Drosophila melanogaster: one gene and its partner. The protein of the gene in region 1 binds, or shares a complex with, the protein of each later gene. Each region holds a gene or a part of one and is shown on either strand. Other genes may lie near its edges.

Evidence for each region. Proteins that work in one complex are often made in the same cells at the same time.
Region 2: Cpsf160 (region 1) and Cpsf73 share a complex: the UniProt entries of both Drosophila melanogaster proteins name them as parts of the cleavage and polyadenylation specificity factor (CPSF) complex.

What each region holds. Positions count from the first base shown.
Region 1 is NT_033778.4:14,501,540-14,505,297, forward strand, and holds the start of Cpsf160 (cleavage and polyadenylation specificity factor 160), read right to left. Parts: upstream 1,950-3,758; 5' UTR 1,826-1,949; coding exon 992-1,825; intron 923-991; coding exon 359-922; intron 301-358; coding exon 1-300. Other genes in the region: Asx (additional sex combs), read left to right, coding at 3,708-3,758. UniProt on the Drosophila melanogaster protein: Component of the cleavage and polyadenylation specificity factor (CPSF) complex that plays a key role in pre-mRNA 3'-end formation, recognizing the AAUAAA signal sequence and interacting with poly(A) polymerase and other factors to bring about cleavage and poly(A) addition.
Region 2 is NT_033777.3:18,661,682-18,665,439, reverse strand, and holds the start of Cpsf73 (cleavage and polyadenylation specificity factor 73), read left to right. Parts: upstream 1-1,887; 5' UTR 1,888-1,984; coding exon 1,985-2,052; intron 2,053-2,108; coding exon 2,109-2,270; intron 2,271-2,332; coding exon 2,333-3,624; intron 3,625-3,685; coding exon 3,686-3,758. Other genes in the region: Gos28 (golgi SNARE, 28 kDa), read right to left, coding at 270-372, 443-831, 1,373-1,557, 1,623-1,644. UniProt on the Drosophila melanogaster protein: Component of the cleavage and polyadenylation specificity factor (CPSF) complex that plays a key role in pre-mRNA 3'-end formation, recognizing the AAUAAA signal sequence and interacting with poly(A) polymerase and other factors to bring about cleavage and poly(A) addition.

The sequences.
Region 1 (3,758 bases):
CACAGTCCACACATCGAGGCACCCATCTAACTCAAAGCTTGTTATGATTTGAGGATTAATGCAGTTTACAAATACGGACAGAGCTCCGTTTTTGCTGTGACCCGTGGCAGCGACTAGTTCTATCTTTAGATCTTGCAGAGATTCCGCATGTGGTCGCAACGTAACGCCATCCTCTTCGAATTCCACTCTTTCTCCGGCGCACATGTAGTTGATTGGTGCTACATTCATTAGACTGTCGCACACCTCAAATATGAATTTTCGCAGCTGAAGAACCGATGCCTTAGCTCCAGAACCATACACCTGTAAAAACGATCAAATTTAAAAACAATTCAAAACTTTAAGTATATTGTTTACAAACCTCTAGTTCCTCATCCTCAATACGACGCGATTTTGCTTGGGTCGGTGCCATTTCCAATTGATCTACATCAAAAATTTCCTCCAAATTCTGATCCTCGTCCTGCAGATTCCTTTGCTGCTGCTCCGATTGCTGTTCCACCTCATCTAACGTAATGACCGTGCTCTGGTCCTCCTCTGTAAAGTGCAGCAATAAGGAATTTCCGAGACGTGATCCCAAAAATATGTATTCGGAGTGCAGAACGCAGATACAACTAGTTAGCACACTGGCGGCTGCTTTGTGGAAATGGAAGTTCCTAACCGTTCTCATTGAGTCAACGCAAAGCGTAAGCACGTATAGATCTCCAGTGCGAAGCGAGATTACCAGCTTGTCGACATCAATAAATGCAAAGTTAGCACAATCCAAACTAATACGAACGCCATCCTGTGGCTTCAGTGGAAATGCGGTGCTGTTATCCGCTGAACTGTTTAAACTGACGCCATATGGAGGGACACTCTGATTGAGATAGATTACAGCATTGACTGTCATTACCAGACAACCCCCAATTGGCTTCTGAATCGGGTAAACCTGCAAGGGAAAAATGACACATTAAACGTTGTGACTCCTAAAAGGTAAGTGGCATTTTCAAACACCCACTTGTAGGCAGTCAAAAGGTAGACTGTTCACGGTCCAAATAATCGGATGCACTCGCTGTTGAATGTTCAACGAAATGGCCACCAAAACGCAAGTATCGGAGCGCACCTTTATTCTTCCCGGACAGGTTCGCACCGGTTCGTAGAGTATAAGCAGCGTTGGTTCGTAGTAGCCGTGCAGGAATTGTATGTCCAGAACATTGTCGATCTTCTCATCAAGATCTCGCAGTGCTATCAGGTACGATGCCATAATAGGCGTCCTGCTGACCATTGCCGTCGGAGCCTTTTTAATTGGCTTCACATCCGCTAGCTCGATCTCGTCCAGGCTGTTGTCCTTGCGAAAGGGCAGTACCACCAGCCGTTTGCCGTAGACCAACATGACGGCACACCTGGAATCGGGATCTACGCGAACTGTGGGCACAAAATAGCGACCCGTCCAACCACCACGTATGTCATCTTCCTCGAAATAGTGAAGTGAGAGAGTTTTCAGCGCAAACGTATCGGGATCGTGCTGCAGTACGGACAATTTCGCGTCCTTGAAACTAATCAACAGCGCATCCCGCATGGCACCCGCCAATGAGACGCACTGCAGCGACATCACATTGCCGTAGAGCGTATATGTGGCTAGGCATTCCAGTCGCATTTTGGGCGCCAGACGCATCTCGCTGGGATTCAGCTTTTGACGCTGGCTCGCCTCCACGTTGGGCGCTATCCGGTACACCTTTAGTACATTGGCGCCCGCCACCACCAGGTTCTCATCCAGATTGTTAAAGAAGCGGCATGCTATCGAAAACTCCACCGCCGTGGCGGAGTGCGTCTGCTTGCACATCGAAAACATTGCGGTGGTTTAATTGGTGTCGCAATTTCTTAAAACATTATTAACAATTTCAGCCAGTTTAACAATTTGCCGGCCCAACACACACAGCAGCTGCGGAACTATCGATTGTGGGTGCAAAGTTATCGCTCATTGGATGTGAAAACTTGTTCGCCGTTTTAGTGGGTGGAATACCATATTGGCTTGATTTTTGTCTTGCTTTTTGTTTTAGCGGTTTTTAAGTATTTCGTTAGTTAATATCTTGCAAAATGTATTTGACCAAATAAAAGCTATATTTTTTTATCTGAACATGTAAAATGATACGTATGTTACGTATTTGCATAAGTTACGAGTCTAAACATTTAGAAATTATTTATAGTGCATTTTGGTCTTAGAGCTTGTATATTTTTATAACAATTATTTTGTATGCACACGTTATACAATTATATTATATATGTACGTAAATGTAACATAACTTAAAATCAAATAACCGCTACGTACGTAACGCTTCATATTTGCCAGCTTATTTCTAGCTACTTCTTGACCTGATCGTTCAATCGATAGTTGGCAGCCCTGGTGCGGGAGCAGTGACTGCGCAAATACATCCGCTCCTATCCGATGTATCGGATGCGACATCAACAACCCCATCGGACTTGGCAGGGCAGCCAGAAATTCGAGCGTTTTGCGTTTAAAACTGGCCACGAAAAAACATTAACTAGTTGGTGTGATTAGTGACTAGTGTTTGCGTTGTAGTAACTTAAACAATTTCATTCAATTAAACGCAGCTTTTCTGCATAGTGAGTGTGAGAGAGAAACGGGCGCTGCGCCCGATACGGGAAAACGCGTGCGCCAGAAAGGGACCGGCATAGTTGGCTAGAAAAGAATCATTTTGTAGCTGCTTTGTTTGTGTGTTTGGCATTCACATTTCCCCCATTCAATATTTAATTTAGTGAGCCATTAACGAGGCGGAAATCGGCATTATGCAAAAGATAGTGCTCTAGTACAGATCTAAATCCGTACCATAAATAGGTAAAATACCCGCAATTAGTTACTTAAATAGGAACAAAAGTCATTTTTCTACTTCTCCGATGTGCTAGTGTGCATTTGTGTGTGTTTGTGTGTATGTGTATGCGTGCGTGAGAAAAAAATATAACCAACTTTGCAGGTCGTTCGTATTTGTTGTTGTTACTGCTGTTACATTGTTGATTTGTTTAAAATTACTGCTGGCAAGTGAGAAAAGTCGTGAGGAAAACAAAAACAATAATTAAAACTAAGGCATAACAAACGGAAAAATCTCCGTATAGCCGCAATTTCATTACATATAAAAAAATAAAACACACGCACACACTTCTAACGAAATATATGCGCACATACATGCACACAGATGACGTACATACATATACAAAGGGCGCAACGTTAAAATTATACAGACACTTTTTGCCTTAAAATGGACAATTCGTTAGTGCAGCCGATCAGGATTAATTTCGTGCACTATAGTATTAACCAAAAACTAGTTTTGCCATCTAATATGGCATCTAAAATCGACTGGGAAGCTTGAAAATGTTAAAAACAAGCAATATTGGCTGAACCCCAACACGGATAAATCAAATAAACAAATTTAAATTTGAAAACTATAAGAAGTTACATTCATTTTTGTTACACATCATTTTGCATTTGTATATGATCATTGTCAAGTTGCCAAGCAATTTAAAGTAAAGAATTAATGCTCTGTTTTTAATTTATATCCAAATAAACCATCACATAACAAAACTATTTCATTGTTAACAAAAAAATAATATTAAATTATCTATTTCTCAACATTTCCAGTGTGTGCGGAAGAAACTTGCTTGACATGGGTGCATGGATCAAAAGTTCGCTGTAAATAGATTAGGCAGAGCGATTAACAATGAAAACCATTACGCCGGATACGACGACGACGACGTCGTCGCAGCACCAA
Region 2 (3,758 bases), on another chromosome or scaffold:
AGTCGTTTCAATAACGTAAATGTTTTAAATGTTTTGGGTTTCTTTTTGGTATATACATAAGTTGTTATGTTTGCTGTTTGCCTAAAATTATTAACTGCTGCTTGAGATTAGAATCAATGGCTGTTGGGTTTTGTCTTATATAGTACATTTTATTGCTATCACAAGTTAATCATACACATATACCGTCGGAAAAAACAAACTAAAATTCAATTGTCTGTAATGGAGTTTAATGCAAGCTCTATCTTTGGCCAAATCGCGGTGGCGGGTCACTAGTTGAAGGCGTAGAGCAGCAGCAAGATCACACAGAAGCCAATAACTGCTCCCAGGATCAGCGAATCGCGTCGCTTTTTAATGTTGATGCGCTGAATGAGACTGTGCATATACAACAAATAATTGGATAAGTAAATATGCATAAATTGAATTGAGAACTCGTCTGTCTCACCTGGAAATCAGTGGGAATCGATTGGAGATATCGTTAAAGCGGGTCTGCAGCCGCTTGAATGCTTGTCGCTGGGCGTGAAGATGGTCACGCGTCTCAATCGCGATATTTATCTGATCGTTGACCAAGTGACTGGCGCTGTTGAGGTGCCCGCTCTCCTTCAGGTACATTTCTCGCCGGTTTAGGCCCGAGATGGATGGACTGCCGGAGCTGGTGGCCAACCCTGAGCCACGAAGCAGCTCCTCTCGCTCGATTCGCATTGTGTGATTGGCGCAGATCTTATTGAACTCCTGGCGATACCCCTGCAGGATCTCTCGATGCCTCTGCAGTGTGTGCATGGCGGCTGCTCCAGAGGCGGGCAAATCGGACATGGACTCATTTAGCGAGGATAGCTGCAATTAAGAAGGATGAAATAGAAATGAAATCCTTCTATTCTATAGAAATTCTATAGATATGGGAATTGCCTAAAAAACGTAGATAACTTAACAAGCAAAACAATTTGAACATTTTGTGCTTCAGTCGGTGACTCATTCATTACTTGGAATTATCTATTAAAGTATTTATCAAATGGAATTCATTTAGCGAATTCAAAGAGGAATTCTTAAACATTTTCTTTTAAAGAATTTAGCAAAGATCAGAGCATAAAAAAAACTCGAATAATAAAGTATAATATATATACAGATTCATAAAAAATTGGAAAGTGATGGAATGTTTTCAATATATATAAGTTAATCGTGGCAGTTTTTCAATTGTGTGCTCAATTCTGCCAATTAAATTATGATTTTTGGGAAGGCTTAGTGGGAAATTAGTAATTCATAGTAGCACAAAGCCGGTGGCACAGAAATTTGCTTAATAAATAAATAAGGAATCCGCACTACATTGTTTCGGGTTTAATCCCTGCACCATCGCATGGCATTGGGTCACATATCGCACCTTCTCCAGCATTTGCTCGATCTCCTCCGACAGCGAATCGAAGACGTGCTCGCCCAGGAGCGGCGATGTGTCAACGCCTCCTAGTCCTCCACTTCCACCTCCTCCACTGCCAGCTCCGATTTTGCTGAATGCCACCAGCTTCAGGTCGATCTCGTTTTCCAGGCTCCGCGCCTGCTTCCTGAGCACTGTGCGGGAGGTCGAGAGGAGAGATAGCTTATATGGAAGGTAACCATTAAGTCCCACTGCTCACCATCGTAGCTGGATCCTCCCATTTGTCAAAAATAGTTTTCCTTTATTTGTTCGACTTTCGTGTGGCAATCGGTGTGACCAGGTCAGGCGGGGCCCAAGTGGAATGAGTTGAGAGTATCGGGAAAGATTAATAGCCAGATTTAATCTAGGCCCTACTTAATGAACAAATGTTTACGAGAAAATTAAATTGTCCTAATAACTTAATGTTAATGTAAAAGGAAAAAGTACAATGTTCTTTTCCAGCCCTTGTGTGAACAGGTCCATACCGGCAGTCATCAAACTTTGGTCACACTGCCGTGCACAGCGTTTTGTTGCCGGCGATTTGTAAAAAAGTTTGTTATTGATTACATTATTTTAGACATCATGACGCAGGCAACAGGTGATGCACGCATGCCAGACGAGGAAAGCGACCTGCTGCAGATCAAGCCACTGTAAGGAATCTTGATTTAAACCAGATAGAAGCTCAAGGGTAACGCTTATATTTCAGTGGTGCTGGCCAGGAAGTGGGACGCTCCTGCATCATGTTGGAATTTAAGGGCAAGAAGATAATGCTGGACTGCGGAATCCATCCGGGATTGTCCGGCATGGATGCCCTGCCCTACGTAGATCTAATAGAGGCGGATGAGATTGATCTGCTGTTTATATCACAGTAAGTACTGCGGCGATTAAATGGGCATTGAACTTTTAATGGTGAATGCTTATATTTATCAGTTTCCACTTGGATCACTGCGGTGCCTTGCCTTGGTTTCTCATGAAGACCAGCTTTAAAGGCCGCTGCTTTATGACCCATGCCACGAAAGCCATTTACCGATGGATGCTGTCCGATTACATCAAGATCAGTAACATATCCACCGAACAGATGCTATACACGGAAGCCGATCTGGAGGCCTCCATGGAGAAGATCGAGACGATCAATTTCCACGAGGAGCGCGATGTGATGGGCGTACGCTTTTGTGCCTATATTGCTGGTCATGTTTTGGGTGCCGCCATGTTCATGATCGAGATTGCTGGCATCAAGATCTTGTATACTGGTGACTTTTCGCGCCAGGAGGATCGACATTTGATGGCTGCCGAAGTGCCACCGATGAAGCCGGATGTTCTTATCACAGAGTCCACCTACGGCACTCACATTCACGAGAAAAGAGAGGATCGAGAGAATCGATTTACCTCGCTGGTGCAGAAAATTGTTCAGCAAGGCGGGAGATGCTTAATTCCAGTATTTGCTTTGGGCCGTGCCCAAGAACTGCTACTTATTCTGGATGAATTCTGGTCGCAGAACCCGGATCTGCACGAGATTCCCATCTACTATGCCTCCTCTTTGGCCAAGAAGTGCATGGCTGTCTACCAGACGTACATCAATGCTATGAACGATCGAATTCGACGACAGATAGCTGTGAACAATCCCTTCGTTTTCCGCCACATTTCCAACCTGAAGGGTATCGATCACTTCGAGGATATCGGACCCTGCGTAATCATGGCGTCGCCGGGTATGATGCAGTCGGGATTGTCGCGAGAGCTCTTCGAGAGCTGGTGCACAGATCCCAAGAACGGAGTGATTATAGCCGGTTACTGCGTGGAGGGCACTTTGGCCAAAGCCGTTCTCTCCGAGCCGGAGGAGATCACCACACTGTCGGGCCAGAAGCTGCCGCTCAACATGTCCGTCGACTACATATCGTTTTCGGCTCACACGGACTACCAGCAGACCAGTGAATTCATCCGCCTACTAAAGCCAACGCATGTCGTGCTCGTCCACGGCGAGCAGAACGAGATGTCGCGTCTGAAGTTGGCCCTGCAGCGGGAATACGAAGCAGATGCAAGCACGGATATAAAATTCTACAACCCGCGAAACACACATGCCGTGGATCTTTATTTCCGTGGCGAGAAAACCGCCAAGGTGATGGGAAGCCTCGCAGCCAAGAACTCGGAGGTGGGAAGCAAACTCTCAGGTGTTCTGGTTAAGCGCGACTTTAAGTACCACCTCTTGGCTCCTTCTGATCTGGGCAGTAAGTAATAGTTAGTTAGTTTCTTTGTAAAAATGTCGATTCATTTAAATAATTCCCACAGAATACACGGATATGAGCATGTCTGTTGTAACCCAACGCCAGTCGATTCCCTGGGGCAGCTCGCTGAGCACTCT